Linked DNA regions of Sus scrofa. Each later gene encodes a partner of the first gene's protein in a complex. Links are inferred from orthologs where the notes say so. Each region holds a gene or a part of one and is shown on either strand. Other genes may lie near its edges.

Region 1 (9,660 bases):
CTCAGGAAAATGAGCAAGCAGCCCCCTGCAACTACAGCACTGAGCGTGCAGAGGTGCCACTGGCAGGCGTGACCAAGCAAAGTGACGCGTCTGCGAAGGGCCCTGGACAGGACGACTATAAATAGGACGTGCAGAAATCTGGTCCCAGGGAGTTTTAGGATGTTAAAACACAACTGGATCTTTGTTTCAGAACGAGGACTCTAACGACCGACTGTGTGGAGGAGCAACGATATACCTAGATACACAGTTCGGTTTTCCTTTACTTAAAAAAATACCCAAGAGAAAACTTCATTAAATATACAGACTTTCTACAAACGTGCCCTTTACCTTCCAGTTTCTTGAGTAAGAAGGACTTCCCGCTTCCCCACTGCGCATACAGCCCCACACAAATGGGCGGCTGCATGGTGGGTTCACTGAGAATGTCGGCCAGGGCACTGCTGTATAAATCATACCCAAGCATGTCACCATCTGTTTCGGTGGGAGACAAGTGTCCTGCAATTATAAACACACCGTATCCTTACATTAAAAAAAAAAAAGTCATTACTATTAGAAAGGAACATCAATCCTCATTTTTTGTTTATTTAGTTAGAGGGAAACAACCTTGGCGTTCCCGTCGTGGCTCAGTGGAAATGAATCTGACTAGTATCCATGAGGACGCAGGTTCAATCCCTGGCCTCACTCAGTGGGCTAAGGATCCAGCATTGCCGTGAGCTGTGGTACATACTGGTCACAGATGCAGCTTGGATCTGGCGTTGCTGTGGCTGTGGTGTAGGCCAGCAGCTACAGCTCCAATCTGACCCCTAGCCTGGGAACCTCCATGTGCCATGAGTATAGCCCTAAAAAGACATAAATAAATAAATAGGATCTTTAAAAAAAAAAACTTTTGTAAATGGTTAGACCTGTGTAAAATATTTTCAGAGATTCCTAAGTTAATACCATATTTCATTGAACTTAAGATACCTATAATTATAAAATGCATCATTATTACATACAACTAAGAAAGAAAAAAATGCTGCCAAATTGTGACATAATGCTTTCTTACCCGTCAATCGTAAGACATATTCCAATTTCAGAGATGCTAAAATGTGGAATAAGGTATTGGTTTAGCATCAATAAAATGATGAAAACAGAAACTAGCCCATAGGAATCAACTCAGTGTGTGCAGTGCCTACATAAAGAGGCTCTATCACATCAGTGAAGGCCTAATAGACAACCAGAGAAAAGGAGACAGGCTGCAGTTCCAGGCAGGAAGGCTCAATGACTTAAAAACAGGAATTGTCCCCAAATTAATCTACCACTTTAAAGCAATTCCAAGAAAAATCCATGAGAATACTGTGAAGAATCAGGAAGCGCATATAAGAAGCATTACGAAAAAGTTTTAAGACTACCAAAAGTGGTTGTCTCTGAAGAAGAATCAAAATACATTTTAAAGCTGCAATAACTAGAACATTACAGAACTTGCACAGGATAGTGACGTGAGTGGCATTTCCAATCAGTGGGGAAAGGATATATTAATAAGTGGTGTTGGGAGAAGTAAGCCACCTATTCTCAAAATGAAGTTAAAACTCTATGTCTTAGGCTTTAACCAAATAAATTTCTGAAACATTAAAAAATTAAATCCAGAGAATAAAACTCTAAAAGTACTGGAAGAAAATACAAGAGAAAAACCTATTAAAATTTTTGTGTGGAAAAGGCCTTTCTCAATATAATACTAAAGCCAGAGTGCAGGAAAAGACCAACAAATAAACCACAAATTTATATAACCTTGGGATAGGGAATTTAAAAAACCCATCCCCATAAATAAAGACTAAGCCGGGGAGACAGATACAACATGTAGGCTGGACCCTCGATCAATATCTTCAATATGTAAAGTCACAAAAATTATTTTTTTAATATGAAAAACTCAAGAAAAAAGCAGGCAAAGGATACAGAGAGGAAAACAGCAAAAACACATGAACATATTAAAAGATCTCAATTTTTCTGTTTTACTCATAATAATTTCACAAGGCACATTAAAACGAAATGTTTCCTCAGTGGTCTGATTGGCAAAGATTAAGGAAGCTGGCAATATCCAGCGGTGGCAAGGTTATAAGGAACTGCGCTATCACACATGATCCAAGGAGGAAAAAACTGTTGCAGCCATTTTGGATAAAGTCTGTCAAAACAATGAACAGCCGCTGACTTGCCAACTCTACTTTTGGGAGTTTAGTTTAGATTATTTTAAGAAAATAGTCTCAAAAAAGATTGTTAATGGATACATGCACAAAGATTTTCACTGCAGCACCAGCTTTTAATAGTAGAACAAATACTCATCAACAAAGAACTGAATGTACCATCAGAACCTAGAATGAAAGATCATGCAACAATTTAAAAATGGTATAGCTCGTTATTTAAAAATTTTATGATATGGTATCACTCACTTTTTTTAAGGCTATATAATAGCACAAAACATCTTTAGAAATGTAAAGAAAATCCTGCTAAATCATTCAAACAACTACAAATTGGGAGATAAGAGACAATGGGACATTTGCACTTTCTACTATATTTGTGTCTTCATCCTTAAAATGTAACGCGTGTTATTGTATTTTCAGAAAAAAAAAGTGTGCATTATTATCCTCAGAAAAAAATATTTTAAAATACAAAAACTTATAATGCAATAGAATCAGACTTAAAAACAAGATGTAAGTAAACAGCTAAACTGAGAAGTGACAGGACTCTACTATCGCCTGCTGGTTTCTGAGACCAAAATGTCTCTTTTTAAAAAATTCTAGTAGAAAATTGTTCCGTGTTTCAAAAGACCACATACAAATGATTACATTCTCATGTGCATCCTTTTCAATCAAAAACTATTTTAGTACAATATTCAACAGGCTATGCTAGATGTTGCAGAGGGCGTACGATAAGAAGAAACAGCCCCTGTCCCGAAGAACCTGAAACCTGGAAGGGAGAAAATTCTAAAAGAAACAAAATAAAAGGCCACATATAATAAGTTTTAAAAAGGGAAAAACAAACACAAGTGCTTAAGTATGCGAATGAAGCAAATTTTGTTTCGTTTTGTTTTTAGGGTCGAACCCATGACATATGGGAGTTCCCAGGCTAGGAGTTGAATTGGAGCTAGAGCTGCCGGCCTACACCACAGCCACAGCCAGATCTGAGCCAAAAACATCTGCCACCTACACCACAGATCATGGCAATGCTGGATCCTTAACCCACTAAGCAAGGCCAGGGATTGAACCCACATCCTCACGGGTGCTAGTCGAGTTCTTACCACTAAGCCACAGTGGGAACTCCTGAAGCAAACATTTTATCTGGTGAGGCTGATCAATTAAAATATCACTGAGAAGGAGACAAGTGACTCCAGCCTTGGAGAGAGGAGATTTCAACCAGAACATTCACAGGACAGAGAGAGCACAGCACAAGCAAACTGAAGTGCTTGAGGCCTGCTCGGAAGAGAGAGCACGTTTTGATAAAAGTATACCTGTGAGAATAACAAGGGAAAAGATTTTTAGAAAAGCAGGAAGATTTTTGGAGGTCTTGAAAGCTGACTGTTGACTCTGAATGCGCTTAATTCAGAATGCCAGAGTACAATGCAAGAGAGCTTCGGACAGTCAGAAGCTATTTTTCCACAGTAAAATAGTAACTTCCCCAACTTGCATTAGCTCCAGTTAAGCAGTACATGCCAAATTGCCGTTGGTCTCAATTTCTTCATAGACAGTCACTTCTTAAAATCTCAGATACAAAACCCATACTTACTGGCTCCAAATATCTGAGTTAAAATACTTTTCTGATGGCTGCAGTCAATGTTGTAGGGCGTCTCGCCGGCTTTGTTGGGCCTGTAAAGTAACCTGCCGTCTTTGGGGTTTCTTAAAAGAAGCTCCGCCAGCTTCCGGCTCCTGCCACGAATAGCAATATGCAAAGGAGTGTCTCCTTTCTGCAACACAGGGGCAGGAAACCCGACCAGTCACGTTGTTTACACATGGAATGTACAATTTTCATGTTTCTATAAAATCACAGAAAATCTGAACTTTTCACATTTTGCAGCGAATGCATGAGTTATATGAATTTTCAGGGCAGCACGTGCAGCATATGGAGGTTCCCAGGTTAGGGGTCGAATCAGAGCTACAGCTGCCAGCCTACACCACAGCCACAGCCACGCCAGATCCGAGCCACATCTGCGACCTACACCACAGCTCACGGCAGTGCCAGATCCTTAACTCACTAAGCAAGGTCAGGGATCAAACCTGCATCCTCATGGATACGAGTCGGGTTCATTACCGCTGAGCCATGACGGGAACTCCCATGAACATTTCAATAAAAGGACGAAGAGGAGGACATACGGCAGAACACTGTCCCCCCCCCCCACCCCGCCAGTGAACGTGAGCGCCAGGCAGCTTTGAGCGTATCTTCTCCAGCCCCTTTCTCCGCAACAAGCCCCCCACCTGGGACAGCCTCCTTGCATGTGGTCAGTGCAGCTCCCTGTAGCCGCTGTGAGCCTTGGCAGGTCAGCTAGAGCTGCCGCTTTCACAGCACGCTGAGCCGCCCACTCCTCAGCACACTATCAAGATACCACGGCATCCAAATCCCACACGGATATCCCCAGCAAGAAACCTCTCCCTCCGCGAAGTAAAATCGGGCCCCCCCCGAGGCCACCAAGAGCCCTCTGAAAAACGTTCCCTGCCTGGATGCTTACCTTATCCACAGCAGACACTTTAGCTCCTTTATCTAGCAGCAGCTCCACCACTTCAATATTTCTCATCTTGGTAGCCTTTATAAGAGGTGTTTCACCATCCTGTGGGCACAGATAAGAAGGTGTTGCTGGATTAACACCTTTATTCCTCACTGTTTTAAGCCACATAAACACACATGTCAAGAATTCAAATAATCTGAGAAGTCTATATTGAAAACGTTCTCAAGAAAACATAGTTGAAAAACTAACAAGCAAGTGCCTCTCCTTTCCCAGCCAATCATTTGTATCACAATACTTTTATCTCACTCAGGGGCACGGGATGTGCCCATCACTTATCAGTCGTTTCTGCCCTGGGCTCGCTGCTCCTGCCATTCCCAGGTCCCCACACCATCCGCCATCCGGGCAGCTCCTCCAGAGGCTGTTGCCCTGTCTCACCATCTCCCCACCAACCGCCGCAGCCCCCAGCCTCGAATGTCCAGGCGAGCCAGCATCTGGACCTGTCAGATGTCTACACCAGCACCTCTGTCTACAACACGGCAAACGGGCTCGTACAAGCGGCATGCCTTGGCAAAACCTCCAAGGAGTTCACAATTGCTTTCGAAATCAAATTAAGAGGAATAAGAAGAAACCACAGTTCAGCTCTGAATTAGGAAAAAGCCAACGTTGCTCAGAAACCACATGGAACCACATGGTCCAAAAGAAAAAGAAAAAAGATTACCCAGGAGCCACCACCTGTAAACCAGAAGATACCCCAGGAAACACTCTTCCCGAGGGCACTGAGGTTATCATCACTGGTTTAGAAAATGCTGCTCCAAAATCTACAGCAAATGAAATAAGAGGGTTTTATGGGTGATTTCATAAGTTTGCTTTATTCGTTAAGAATTCCTGCCATTTCAGTCCAGAATTCCAAATACATTCTCCCTTGGAAAACTGTTTCACATGACGTCAAATATAACGACTCAAGTCTTAACAGTTTTACACTTTCCACATGAATTGAGTAAAATAAACTCAAGTGGTTGGCCTGGGGAGTCACTCACAGGGACCTTTCAAAAGGAAACGTGGTCTGCCTTCCAAACCACAGGAGCCTGAAATATTTCTGGGGGAATGATCTGTCCAGAATTTATGAAGAGCTGATACCACACTTCCTGCAAGTATTCAACTAAAATAACAAATTACACAACGCATTCTCCTGGGAATACCTAACTCCTGAAAGGATACAAAGTTACTCTTCAATTCAATACAGAACTTTACCATAAAACCAGTATAATTCCAGTATCAAACCACTGTAAAAACTGAAAATAAGAAGCAGTGTTAATATTTCGCACTCAGTATTGCTGAGACAAGAGAGAAGTGTATACCTTCGTGCATATTTCAGTGTCGGGGTTGCACTGCAGGATATCTCTCACCATTGTCGCATTTCCTTTCTCCACAGCCCAATACAAAGCAGTTTTATTGTCCTATATAATTAAAAAAAACCAACAATCACTTCATATACAATATGTTATAAACAGCTACTTAGAAATATAAAATAATACTATTAACACTTCTATTAAAATATGAATAGATCTTACCAAGCAGCAGCATGAGAGAAAATAGGAATCTTGATTCTCTCTTGCATTTACTTGTGAGAAATTCTTTATGGAAGAAGCCTAGGAACACTTAATATTTCCTGACTCAAAAAGCAGCGACCCCCCACAGCTGATAAGTGAGCTGTGCTTCGGGAACGCGATCAGATTTCAGGACCCTGCCCTGTCGGAAGTCATCAGTACCCAAGCTTTGCATCCTCTGATAAATCAGGTAAATATTCGGACCCCTGGCTTTTGGCTGTTCGTCTGCCCAATCTTTTCAAAGATAATGCATGAGAAATACTACACAAATACAAGGTGAACCGTTTTAGCATTTTTAGTTTTCTTAATCTCCTCCCCGTACCCATATACTGATCTTCATCAGATTCTTTAAAATTCTAGTTTTAAACCAAAAATCGATCTATATGAACTTTGAAAACAGAGCTGGGGCGGGGGGGGGGGGGGAGACTGACTAAAACATAGGAAACCAGAATTGACCGACACAGGAATTAGATGAAAGTCTACACAGGGGCTCCTGTGACCCACTTTTAGCGAAAAGATGATTTAACACCCAAGAGAGGGCGAATGACTTCCTGCTGCTGCCACACAAGATCTCCTGCACCAAGGCTGCCTCGCCGGAGTCCCCTTCTCAGAACTGCACGCCAGCTTCCAACCTTCTACGCGCGGCACCCACGCCCCTCTGGCCCTACTTCCCTTTCTGCCTCCACCTCTCGTCCCACGCTGCCCACGGTCCCAGTGACAACCTGGTTTATTCACCAGCTGGGGAGTACAATCTTTCACCGTCCACTTTTCCTGAGCTTTCTCATCCCGTTCTTCCACTACCCTTGCCGGATTACCCAGCCTTCCTTTTCTCTCCCTAATCCCAACCTGTTTTTCAAACTTAGCTCAAATGCGCCCTTCCTTCGAAAGCTTTCTTAAGGCCTGCTTTCCCCACGTCAAGTCTCGTACACTGGAACCTTTCACTAGGCGATCAATCGCATACCATCTCATTCCAAAGCAGCATCACTTTTCATGGTCACATTAAAACTTAAGAATAAATATAAACGAAACAAACTAAAACCTTCCTAACTAAAATATACGGTTCTTACAGGCAAGGCTCATGGCATTTGGTACAATATTTATTGTTTTGATTCAAAAATGGATTTGGATACAAGCTAAATGCAAGGAAAAGACTGAGCAGAAACGTAGACTGTCCAACCACAAAATGGGCTGTTAAGCAAGATTTTTTTTTTTTAATCTAAAGCTCTTGACATATCAGATAAATTCACAACTTCAGAGACGCTTTTAACCTAAAATCGGTAACCTTTACAGCTCTATGAGCTCTGACTGTCTTCAGCAAAGTTCACAGGCACAACCAAGTGGTCCTGGGAAAGGCTAACAGAATGGTAAAAAGGGGAAGAAAGATAAAACAACAGGAATAGAAGGAAAATGTACGGACGAAAAAGACAAACAGGGGCTGCTGAAGAAAACAGGATGCGTACACTCAGCGTGCCACCGACTGTCTCCACAGCACAAACCACCCACTTCAGGACTGAATTTCGATATTTCTTTAGACATAAGGAAAGGAGGTGTATTTGAAAAACCTGAGCTTCTTTATGGTTTACTTCTGTCTAACTTGACACGAATACAGAAATCCCATGATAATGGCAGTGAAGCAACAGAATCGGCTCCCATTACACAGATGAGGGTTTATAAGCTTATCTCCATAGGAAACAGCACTGTATTCACACGCACCTGTCCTCTGATGTCTATATCGGCATATTTTTGGAGAAGCGCTCGAACGATTTCCACGTGACCACCTCTGACCGCGCCAATTAACACAGTGTCTCCACTCTGAAAAGACAAAAAACCAAGGTGAAGGGATGATGAAAACAAAAAACACTGTTTTGAAGTGAAGATTATCCACGTGTTAATATCAATAGATTTTTTTTTCCTGAAAAATCCTTGGGGAAAAACACTATCTCTAAATAATAGAAAGTTTTTAGTTACCAATATGAACAGCCTTCAGAATAAGGGATAGAAGACTTTATACTTCAAAATGAGGACATTTATACCTGAGATTTCCGGACAAAAAGTTTAAAAGGGTAAGTCACCCAGAATAAGCCATTCTCTTTGCAGGTAACCTCTCATTTCAAATGTAAATTGAATAAGAGGACCCATGGCTGTCAATGAACCAGATGGGCATTTGGAAATTACATAACACAAATCCCTTGGAATGATGCTAGATGACAAAAGCCATGGATTCTAAAAAAAGGAGCTGTAGAGCTAGAGCCATCTGTGGGTTTATCACCACGTTTAATGAAGGGAGAAGGGTGGTTCCCAGAATAGCACCTATACCCTATGGACCTGGCACTGCAGGCCAGCAGTGCACCAGACTGACTCATCCCCAGTACAAGGCGGAGACGAATGAAGCTCATTACCTCCTAAGGACATCTCTGCCCTGAGATTATATTCACCAAGCAATAATCACTAGTAATTGTATCTCCCCGGGTTTCAAATGCTGCAAATGGCCTTTGTTAAACTGCTAAATCACAGACCAGTCGCATGGGTTTGGGTTGGGTGATTCCATCACCTACGGCTCGTCTCAATCCTAAGGGGGCCCCGGCGGGCTGGAAAGCAAGGTGCAGGTCCTTGAGGATTCTGACGCCACGCTGAAGTATCTTAACTTCCACGTTAAAAGTGTACAGAAACCCCCAGCAGACACCCTTTAGTTGAGAACGTTAGCATTAATGTGGGTCCAGACTGGAAAATGAATAAAAGCGTCTAAGTATTTGCGCCATGGACTATTACTCCAGGCGCTGGGAAATAAGGTGGACAAGCTCCCACCCAGCTCTGAGAAAATCCATAGTCCCGGAGACCGACAGACGACAGACACAAAGAAAAAGTCAACTAACTGTCATGCAAATAAAATGCAGTGATGTAAGAGAAAGTGATGGGGCAGACTGGGTAGCTGGAGAAGACCTTTCTGAGGAGGTGACATTTAGGCTGAGATGGGAAGGACAAGGAGGAGCCAGCCACATAAAGATCAGTGTTCCAGGCAGAGCAAGCTGCAGGCGGCCTGTGGCGGCGACGAGCCCAGTGTGGTCAAGAAAGGGAAGGAAAGGGTTAAAATGGCTGCAAACTACTGAAACGGGAGGGAGAGGCACAAGTGAGGACAAAGCGTGAGGCCAGACTAAATCAAGAGGTGCTTATAAACCAAAGAGGGAGCACGCATCCCGCGAGCCAGAGGCAGTCTTGGAGCACACGGAGGATGCGCTGCTCTACGGATCACGCTGCGAACTAGCGAACACAGGAGACCTGGTTAAGGCAGCACTGCTGTAATGACGGGAGGTGGACCTGGAAACGAAGGCAAGTGGACAGATAGAGGGTGCGGTTTGGACATAGAGC
Region 2 (10,404 bases), on another chromosome or scaffold:
AAGGATTTTTTGATCAGGCCCCATAGATACCACACCTGCCTGGTGATGGGAAGAAACAAGTAACTAAATCTCCTCCTATAAACAAATTGACTTTAAAGATGAATAACAAAAAAAGTTTGAAAAGCCAGGGAGAATTCTTTCATATGACTTAACACAAGAGATTCAAATTTAAAACCTTGTTCCAAGTCCTCAATCTGCAATCTCCCCTTTCTATACCATTTTTAATTTTGAAAGCACTACATTAAATGAAATATAAAACCAAAAACACACAAGAAAATACTGGTTTTTGTTTTTTCTATTTTTAAGATAGCAAAAGAACTAGAATTTAATGACATATCTATCAGCCCATGGCACAGAGTAGAGCCCCTATAAATATTTGTTGAATGAATGAATAATTTTTTTACAGTACTTGTTCATGAGTGTTGTCTACTTGGCTTCTTTTAGCATTTACTAGGTAGAGTGAAGACCTGAAAAGGTAAATACAATTGGGCAAGAAACCTAGAGAATTTTGACAATTTCTCAGTCCCAAAGGCCAATTAAATACCAAGCAACCCACAAACTAGCTCTGGTTAAGTAGTACAACTTGAGCAAAATTTTCCAAATATTTTTTATAACATATCATTACTAAAAAAAAAAAAAAAAAAAAAAAAAAAAAAGCTTACTATGCACCTCCAATATAGGTACATTTATTTATAAATTATTTCCTTCTACATCTGTTTACATTATAAAACAAGGATTTTTTTTAATGGAAGTTTTAAAAGCTGAGACAATGATAAAATAAATAATTTTAACCTTTCATTTGTGAATAATACTAAAATATTTTTAACCTCCTTTAAGAAATTATCATCAGTAACAATACTTTTAAAGAACAACCTAACTGAAAAGATTCATTACTTTTTAAAATTTTAGTTTAACATTTCATGATAATAGTATTTCAAAGGCCTAGTTCAAACTTTAGGGTTCAGTTGATTTTGAAACCTGATTATAATGGCTGGAAAACAGACCTTTTAAAGACAAAATACTCTAATATATCATATTTATTTAAGGTGGAGTTCACTGTAAATGACAATGGATGCAAAACAGTACTTCAAAGAATTATCTTAATTATTTTGAAACATTCTGGCAAACTTCCTGTCAGATCTATTTAAGTATCACTGTTTTCTCTATAATTTGGCTGACAAAAAGCTAGTACTAGAAGTAGAATTGCCAGCTCTGCCATTTTCTTGATATTCACGTGTGCCTGATTATTGGTACTGCTGCTGAGGCTTCTTTACAGGAGTCTTTTTAAGTCACATCCATTTTATAAGGGTTCATTTAGTCAAAATTAGGTAACAGCCATATATACTCATTTAACTATGTACCCATAAACTGGATTAACCGCTGTTTGCCCTCCGACTACCTCCTAAACAAGGTCACTGTATTAACCCATTTATTCAATATTAGCAAAATTTTCTTTCTGTTTTATGCACAAAAACAAACACAATTAACATTTCTAAAACTATTTTCTAATAAGATCCTGCTGTATAGCACAGGGAACTATTTTCAGTCACCTGTGATGGAGGATAATGTGAGAAAAAGAATGTATGTATATATATGTGTGTGTGACTGGGTCACTTTGCTGTATAGTAGAAAACTGACAGAACACTGTAAACCAACAATAATGGAAAAAAATGAAAATCACTTTTAAAAAATAATAAAGAATATATACGTATGTGTATGACTGGGTCACTTTGCTGTATAGTAGAAACTGACAGAACACTGTAAACCAACTATAATGGAAAAAATGAAAATCATTAAAAAAAAAAAACAAAAAACAACTATCTTCTCTTACTCCATGGGAGTTTTGAGTACTCTCCTTTGGGGGCTATGATGCAAATATACTTGAAATCTCTAGCCAGCACAACTCAGTCTCTCAGATGTTTTCCAGATTAGGACTGGATTTGAAGCCAGGACTGATTTTCCATGGTCACCCCAGGTCAAATAAGACTCTTAGGTTCTTATGATCTGGGCCTTCACCCAAAAACTGATCCAAAACCAACCTTCAGGGATGGGAGGGCAAGTATAATCTTTCCAGGATACTCACTTTATTATACAAAAATACACAGGATACACACTTTATTATACAAAAATAATAAAGAAGAGTAATAGTTTTCTGTCTTATACAACACTCATTCACTCAGTTAAGAAACATTCTGAAATGCAAAGCATCTTACTGACATAATCATTTACAAGTGTTATTTTAAATATGCTATACTGGATTTTCATTTGCAGAAGTGAGTGAAAGAAAAAGTGTGGTTTGTGCCCCATCGGGTGGCCAAACTGGAAATTTCAAAACAAGTTCCAGCAAGGCAAGTTAACCCTAACTAATCAACATAATACCTTTGGGAAATTGAAGCCTGCAACACAAGTGTTCTCATGGGAGAGTTCTATAAATGAAAATCACAATAACGTTACAGCACTGTTTCCTTGCAATTAAAAATAAGATACACAGTTTATGAAGAATCTCTCTTTTCCAAAATCTTGCAACAAAAAATTAATCTATGACCATCATTTTTTATTTAAGTTAAATAAAAGTTTCACTGGGTCAGCTTTCCATTCACACATTAAAATATCATCAAAAAATTTTGAAAGGTGACAATTTAAAAAAGTGCTATTAACAATAATGCTTTAAGTTCTCTCCTCTTCATATATCAAACACAAACCACAAAAAATGCACAGAAATTTAGAGCTATATGGTCCTTAGAAAATAGAGCTCTGTGAGCTTAGAAACCATCAAGTCCAGTTCTCTCACTTTACAGATGAAGAGCTTAAAGCCCAGAAAGAGGAAGTGATTTCTTCAGGGTCACACAGTTAGGGTGACCTCACTACCAAAGCTTACACACCTTCTGCTCAAGAGACTAGCTGTCTAGATATGATCCTGGACAAGTAATTTAACCTTTCTGGACCTCAGTTTCCTTACTTGAAAACAAACAAACAAACAAACAAGAAGGCAAATAATCTCTAAATTCCCTTCAAACTCTAAAATCCCGAAATTTAGATGTCTCATTATTTTATTACCTTACAAAACTACAGTGCACACTGAAAAAAAAAAAAAAAATGCCACATTTCTGAGAAACCAAAGCAGCACAGGACCCTAGGGAAAAAAACACAAGTCAGCAGCCTACAACACCAAATATATTTGCTTCTTTTGCTAGTATTCTGTAAAATATTAATATGGTCATACTACTCTATTTGGCTGAAACTGGTCTAAATTAATTTTGATTAATCAATTACAGAGCTCTAAAATATACAATCACTGATTCCAAATTTTTTTTGCCAGTTTGTTTGTTTCACTGTCACCCGGATGCCACTGATTCTAAGTTTTTATGCTCTTATAAAGATTTATTGATGTTCTATAATATAAACCAAGATTTACACTCAACTAGATTACTGGAAACAGGGACAGTCTCTTCCCACTGTGTTTATTCTGTGTAAAAACTATTCCCAAATGGATCAGATTTTCTTCATATAGTTTCTCCATGTTGCTCTCTTCTTTTATGTTTTATCATTCTGTCTATGAAGACTGAATCTATGAACTCTACAATTCACTTTTAAATCAGAAACTAATAATTTTCAGGATACTGATGCATCACTAAAATTAATAATTTTAACAATCTAAAAAATAAAAGCCAGTGAAAGTTAAATAAAAAATCCTATGAAAAGCTCTGGCTCTATATTCTTATTTTATGAAAGAGGAACCTTGAAAAGGCAAAAAGACTCTCCTCAAAGCCTCATGACAAGCACAAATGAGAACTAGCAGTTATTGTATGACTGTGTGTACACAATAATACATCTAATCATAGATGTAAAACAGTATTTTTCAGCTTCTACCTGAAGCTCTGCTTATTTCAAGTAAAATTTGACATAGCAAAATGAAATAAACCACAAAGAAGCTGAACAGTTCACCGTGGTTCACAGTACTAGAAAGCACCCTATGCTAGAAATCAGGGGCAATACACTGAAATTTCATCATCAGTACTTGAAAAGCAAATTCAAGTGTCTGTTCTACTAACAGTGTTTCAAGAGCATCATCTTCATATATGAGAAACTACATGTTACTGCATTATAAGGAAGTTCATTTCTCTAGTAAATACTAATATCTTTTATGATGTCCTTTTTTTCCCCAAAGTTTTTAAGCTACTAAAATTCCTGGACTCTAAAGACTCTTATTTATGACTCTTCAACTATTTTTAAAGGAACAGCACCAGTTCTAGAGAAACAATACACAACAGATCCCAAGCCTCTAAAAAATGTCCTTAATGGCTCCAATTCACAAAGAAAAGTGTTTCTTATTAATTTTGCCTACCAAACAATGAGCTTATCCTAGTCAAGAGTCACATGGTAGGAATTCTCTGCAGAATAAAATTTCAATTATCCCCAATTAATGAATTTTTCAAAAAATAATTTATAATTGGACTAGGAAAGATAATGCAGTCACACATATGCTCAGGAATTTTGTTCCTCTGTGACCAACCTAAAGTAATCACTTAGGACTACTGTCCAAATGGAGTATGTGAATAAGGAATCCCAGAATTACTCCAGCCACAAAGCTGACATTATAAATCAAGAAGTAATTATGTATTCAAACTAAATCTTATGCTTCTCCTTCCAGCCCCAGAAATTGTATTCCAAGTTAATACAATTCTATGAAACAGCTGAGTGCTGTAATATTTAAAACAAATCATAGCATACAACCAACCACCATTACTTCTCCCCAAATGAAGCATTCCATACTACATAACAAGTATAAGATGTTGCTTCAGCATGCTGTGCTCTATGCTTCTATGAAGAACTGGCAGTGGTGCTGAAAATTACTACTAGAGAGATGAAAGACCAATACCTTCCTTTCAATAAAAACCATCATCTGGACTCTAGCCAAGGTTTTAAACTGACCAAACGTTATTAGAAACAATAAATCAAAACCTCTACAAGGTGAAAAGCTAGTCCCTTTTTTTCATTCTCATGAAACATAGCCACAAAACACTGTAAGAAAATTAAGTGAAAAGAAAGCATTAATAATTTTCGGGCTTTCATTTCTGGCAATAATCAAATACTGTATGTTACAAGGTGAATTTATTTTACAAGGTTCTTCAAGGTTTTGTTTAACCTACTTAACAATCCCTTTCCCTGTCTTCTTCAATTATTACAACTGTTATATGAATAAACTATTGCCTAAACACCTATCAATGAACTTAAAATAGAAATTAAATAGAGAACCAAAATATTTTAATTCATAAAACCTAGCTAGAATATTTGTGTTCATATTGATTTTATACTCTTTGTTCCTGCACATAACATAGATGTGAATTCCTGGAGGTTACAGATAAGTCTTTCTCTATCCAGGAGCTGAACTGCCAGTTAAGGAAAATAACCTAGTGCAATGCTTAAAGCCCTTCAGGTATCTTGGCTTCTGAATCCCTAAATGGGCTCACCACCTTTACTCTTCCTTTTATTAATGCAAGGTTCCTTATCACTATCTATTAAATACACTCCAAGAGCTGTTATTACAGAAATTAAGGGTGAGACGGGCCATGATTTCTGTAATACACAGGTATGTTTTCAAACTACATTGTTTACAATGTAGTACTTTTCTCCCTAGATAACAAAAAATTTAGGAAAGAAAATGTGAAAATTGTAAATAATTCCCTTCTCTTTCTTCCTTCCACTTCCCCCTTCATCCCAAAACAAGAGAAGAGCCAAAAACAAAGATAAGGATGTTTTATATACTTTGTATACTTTATGCAATCAGTGAAAAGACAAGTCAGCCTCATCAAAACAAAATAGCTGATTACGGTACGTGTGCATAGTGTAACCACTGCATGTGTAATACACATTTAAATCAAGTTTCAACCCTGTTACAAAGCCTTTGTCAACAGCGGGCAAGTGAAGAAAAGCTGAAGGGCTCCGTGGAATGAAGGAAATCACTGGAGGGGCTTATCTCGGAAGAGGATTCCTCGGTGAGAGGTGAGCAGAGAGAAACAAGACCTAACCTTGGCGAGGGGGCGCTCGCCCAGGGTGGGGACGCGAGGTTAGGGTGAGCGGGAGGAGGGGATTAGCGCGAAACCGCCGCGACCCCGGGGCTGCCCTCACACCCCGACTCCTCCACCTGCGGCTCGCCCTCCCACCGCCATTCCCCAGCCCCGGCCGGCTGTGCCTTCCCTCCCGGCCCGCCGCCCGCATATCCGTTACCCCGGCGGCAGCGGGGCTGCGGGGGAGGGGAAGGTCAGCGGGGCCCAGAGGGGGCCGGCCGCGGCGGGGATGCCGCAGTGGCTCCCCGCCGCACCGGGTCAAAGTCCGCCCGGGCGCGGGGAGGCAGCAGGAGCCGAAGGCGGCGGTGGAGGTCAGGACTGGGGAGATGGTGGCCCCTCAGAGTCCTCCCACTCCCCGGCCGCTGCCGGTACCTCATACTGGATGTATTGCTTCCTCCACTCAGGAGTGATGTGCGCGGAGAGGTGCTCGGCGAACTTCATCCTGCCGTCTCCCCCTCACTCCCACTCGGGTCCAGCAGTTACTGGCGGCGGCGGCAACAGCGACTCCGACTCCTCCCCACATGGGCCCCGGCGCGGCGCGGCGCTGCGCTTCTCTCCTCCTCCGCCGCCGCCGAGGTCTCCTCAGAGCCGCCCTCCCGCCATCTTCCTCCTCCTCTCCATAGCCCCGCCCCTCCCCGCCCCGCCCTCTATACGTCATCGCCATGGTAACCGCCTACGCCGCACCGTCGAAAAGGGCGGGGTAACGGGCGGTATTTTAGTATATTCCTTATAGCTCCGCCCCTCTGGGCCGGACGTGCCGAAGGCACCTCCCCTGACCTCTTCCGTCTGGTTCTTGTTGGCCTTACAGCTGCGCTCCTAACGCTTGCCTGGGAAGCTGTGGTGTTATTGCAATTAATATTAATACTGTAGCAACAATACTCCACAGAAGTTTATATTTGCAAAGATTTGTGCAAATATTTTTTCTTTTTAATATTTATTCTTCGTAAAACCCTTAAGGATGGCTCAACATTAATTCAAATTAAAAGCAGACTAAATAGGAGTTCCCTTCTTGGCGCAGCCGGAACGAATCCAACTACGAACCATGAGGTTGTAGGTTCCATCCCTGGCCTCGCTCAGTAGGTTAAGGATCTGGCCTTCTCGTGAGCTGTGGTGTAGGTTGCAGACTCTGCTCAGATCTGGCCTTGCTGTGGCTGTCTGTAGGCCTGTGGCTACAGCTCCAGTTGGACCCCTAGCATGGGAACTTCCTTATGCCGCGGGTGCGGACCTAAAAAAAAAAAAAAAAAAAAAAGACAAAAACAGACTAAATAGTTAAGGGCCATATGTATTTAAAGGAAGCTTATTTTACACGCTCTAGGTGCTGGATAAATGCTTGTTGAATTTACTTAAAGATATCAGTGCCAAAAATTGCATGCTGCTTCTGAATTTCAATGTAATTGTCTAGCCCCAGGGCTCCCAGAAAGGCCAACCACAACACCTGGACTCAAAATAGGACTGGGGTATCAACTGGACTTGTGGCTAAGCTTCGTGGGGATTAGGAGTGAGGTTTGAGAGGGAAACCAATGCTGGGAGGAAAGAGAATCCTCTTGAAGTACAGTAGGAACCCCACCTCCAAGGAGATCAAAAAAGGGGTCCAGCATCCAGGCTGACTCTTCTCAGGGAGCATAGAGAACAGATCACTCACACAGCTGGCACTATTTGAGTATGGGAGCAATTGTCCTGGATTTTGGACAGAAATCAAGGTCTTTCCCTGAGTGGAGGAGCCCTGAATAATAATTTATTAAGCACTTACTGTCCGTGGAACAAAAATTATTTTAAATCGAAGCAAAGTACTTTGTCCTTTAATTCTCACAATTTTGGTGAGATCCAAAGATTAAGTGGCTACTATGACTGGGACAGTGTTCTGTGATAACAGTATCTACTGTTGGTTTGGGTTTTTTGGGTTTTTTTCTCTATGTATTTTTCCCCTTTCCTCTTCCTCTTAAATCATGTCAGTAGGGATACTAGAATTATTTCCTCAGGACAGGGGATGATGCATGATGGAAAATAGTCATGGGCGATGAGGCTTTCTGATTTTTTGTTGTACAAAAGCCTCAACCTCTGTGAAAGGGTAATCAGGGAAGAAGAAGGAGGAGAAGGAGAGGAAGGAGAAGGAGAGGAAGGGGAAGGAGAGGAACGGGAAGGAGGAGGAAGAGGAGGAGGAAGACTCATCTCAGGTCAGCACTGTACTCCTCTGTCCACCATAACAATTCCCCTCTACTAGAGGTAAATGTTGCCAAGAGAGAAAGGCAAAAGAGAGGGCTGTGCTCCCAGAAAGGAAGTACCACCCAGAGAGGGGGTGGCTGCATGGTGTGCCTAGGAAGACAGAACCAGGGGTAGCTGCAAAAGCTATTGCTGGGCCTTTACCACATGTGAGCTGGAATGGAAGACTCTTTTTATTTATTTTGTTGTTGTTGGCTTTTTAGGGCCACACCCGAAGTATATGGAGATTCCCAGGCCAGGTGTTAAATCGGAACTACAGCTAGTGGCCTACACCATAGCAGCAACATCAGATCTAAGCCGAATCTGTGAGCTATACCGCAGCTCACGGCAACGCCAGATCCTTAACCCACTGAGGGAGGCCAGGGATAGAACCTGCATCCTCATGGTTCCTAGTCAGATTCGTTTCCACTGTGCCACGACAGGAACTCCAACTCTTTTTTTTTTTTTTTTAATTGAACTATAGTTGATTTACAATGTTTCAAGTGTAGAGCAAAATGATTTAGTTATACATGTAAGTTTTCAGATTCTTTTCCATCATGGATTTTTAAAGGAAACTATATATAGTTCCCTGTACTGTACAGTAGGTCTTATTTTTTATCTATTTTATATATAGTAGTATCTACCTATTAATCCCAAATCCCTAATTTATCCCTCCCCCTCTTTCCCCTTTGGTAAACACAAGTTTGTTTTCTATGTCTGTGAATCTATATCTGTTTTGTAAATAAGTTCCTAGATTCCACATATGTGAGAGCATATGATACTTGTCTTTCTTTTCCTGATTTACTTCACTTACTATGATAATCTCTAGGTCCACCCATGTTGCTGAAAATGGCATTATTTCATTCTTTTTGTAGCCCAATAATATTCTATTTTGTATATATACCACATCTTCTTTATTCATCTGTCCATGGACTTGTCCATGTCTTAGCTATTGTAAATAATGCTGCTGTGAACATTGGAGCGCATGTATCTTTTCAGATTAGAGTTTCTCCGGATATATGCCCAGGAGTAAAATTGCTGAATCATATGGTAACTCTATTTTTAGTTTTTCGGTTTTTTTTGGTTTTTGTTTTTGTTTTTTTCTTTTTAGGGTCACATGTGCAGCATATGGAAGTTCCCGGGCTAAGGGTCGAATCAGAGCTGCAGCTTCCAGCCTACACCACAGCTCACAGCAACAGCAGATCCTTAACCCACTGAGCAAGGCTGGGGATTGAACCCACATCCTCATGGATACTGGTTGGGTTCCTTACCGCTGAGCCACAATGGGAATTCCTATTTTTAGTTTTTTAAAGAAAACTCAATTCTGTTCTCAATGGTGGCTGCACCAATCTGCGTTCCCACCAGAACTGTAGGAAGGTGCTTTTTTCCTCCATACCCTCTCTAGCATTTATCATTTGTGGACTTTTTGATGATGGAAAAATGGCAGACTCTTGGTAGCAACTCCTGTAGACCACGGCATCCTGCTCCCAACAGCATCATATCTTGGTGCCTCAACTATGCACAAGATTCTGGAACCATGGCCCAACCCAGGGAAGAAAAGAAAGCCTCATATTAGCTCTATAACCAGCAGTTCTTAATTTTCTCATACCTGATCAAGGGCACTGACACTCAGTTGGACAGAAGTAGATTTAGTAATAAATTTCCTATCCCTAGTGTTACTTCAGATAGTTCACTGACAGAACCATCAAATACTTAGTATTTATTACACACCTACTTTCTATAGAGCCTTGTGCTAAGGTGCTAAGAATGATCGCCTGAATGGTCTTTTACTCTAATCAGAAGTAACTCTTACACTTTCTTTTGTAAGTAGGCAAATAATTCTTCATTCATTGAAATTTTATTGAGCACTGTGATATGCTTGCTATGCCACTTTGGGAATGAAGGACAGTTCAGAAATAAATAAGACTGTCTTTTCTGTGGAGGACATCATAAACCAAACAAAGACAGAAAAGGAGCTCCCACTGTGGCTCAGTGGCTTAAGGACCCAATGTAGTCTCCGTGAGGATATGGGTCCAATCCCTGGCTTTGCTCAGTGAGTTAAAAATCTGGCATTGCTGCAGGCTGCAGTGTAGGTCGCAGATGTGTCTCTGATCCCATGTTGCTGTGGCTACAGCAG

What was found. The genes of interacting proteins can lie anywhere in the genome.
Region 2: the proteins of KIDINS220 (region 1) and XPR1 are in contact, whole or in part, in a cryo-EM structure (PDB 9JXQ), measured with the Homo sapiens proteins. The link is inferred for Sus scrofa from reciprocal best matches to the Homo sapiens genes KIDINS220 and XPR1. Residues at the interface, in NP_065789.1 of Homo sapiens: Glu36, Cys37, Gln39, Asp70, Trp72, Met102, Trp105, Trp110, Tyr113, Lys114, Val138, Ile142, Trp143, Gly146, Arg147, Ser166, Asp167, Lys168, Tyr169, Gly170, Trp176, Arg179, Lys180, Gln198, Glu199, Gly200, Ala201, Ser203, Lys234, Arg267; in NP_004727.2 of Homo sapiens: Leu95, Lys189, Lys190, Gln193, Glu197, Ala200, Asn204, Glu205, Ala636, Asp637, Asp638, Leu641, Leu642, Gln644, Met645, Met646, Asp647, Gln648, Asp649, Asp650, Val652, Arg653, Asn654, Arg655.

What each region holds. Positions count from the first base shown.
Region 1 is NC_010445.4:127,410,003-127,419,662, reverse strand, and holds part of KIDINS220 (kinase D-interacting substrate of 220 kDa), read right to left. Parts: intron 8,107-9,660; coding exon 8,008-8,106; intron 6,145-8,007; coding exon 6,046-6,144; intron 4,790-6,045; coding exon 4,691-4,789; intron 3,932-4,690; coding exon 3,754-3,931; intron 493-3,753; coding exon 328-492; intron 1-327. UniProt on the Homo sapiens protein: Promotes a prolonged MAP-kinase signaling by neurotrophins through activation of a Rap1-dependent mechanism. Provides a docking site for the CRKL-C3G complex, resulting in Rap1-dependent sustained ERK activation.
Region 2 is NC_010451.4:122,234,250-122,244,653, reverse strand, and holds the start of XPR1 (xenotropic and polytropic retrovirus receptor 1), read right to left. Parts: upstream 6,701-10,404; 5' UTR 6,510-6,700; coding exon 6,441-6,509; intron 1-6,440. UniProt on the Homo sapiens protein: Inorganic ion transporter that mediates phosphate ion export across plasma membrane.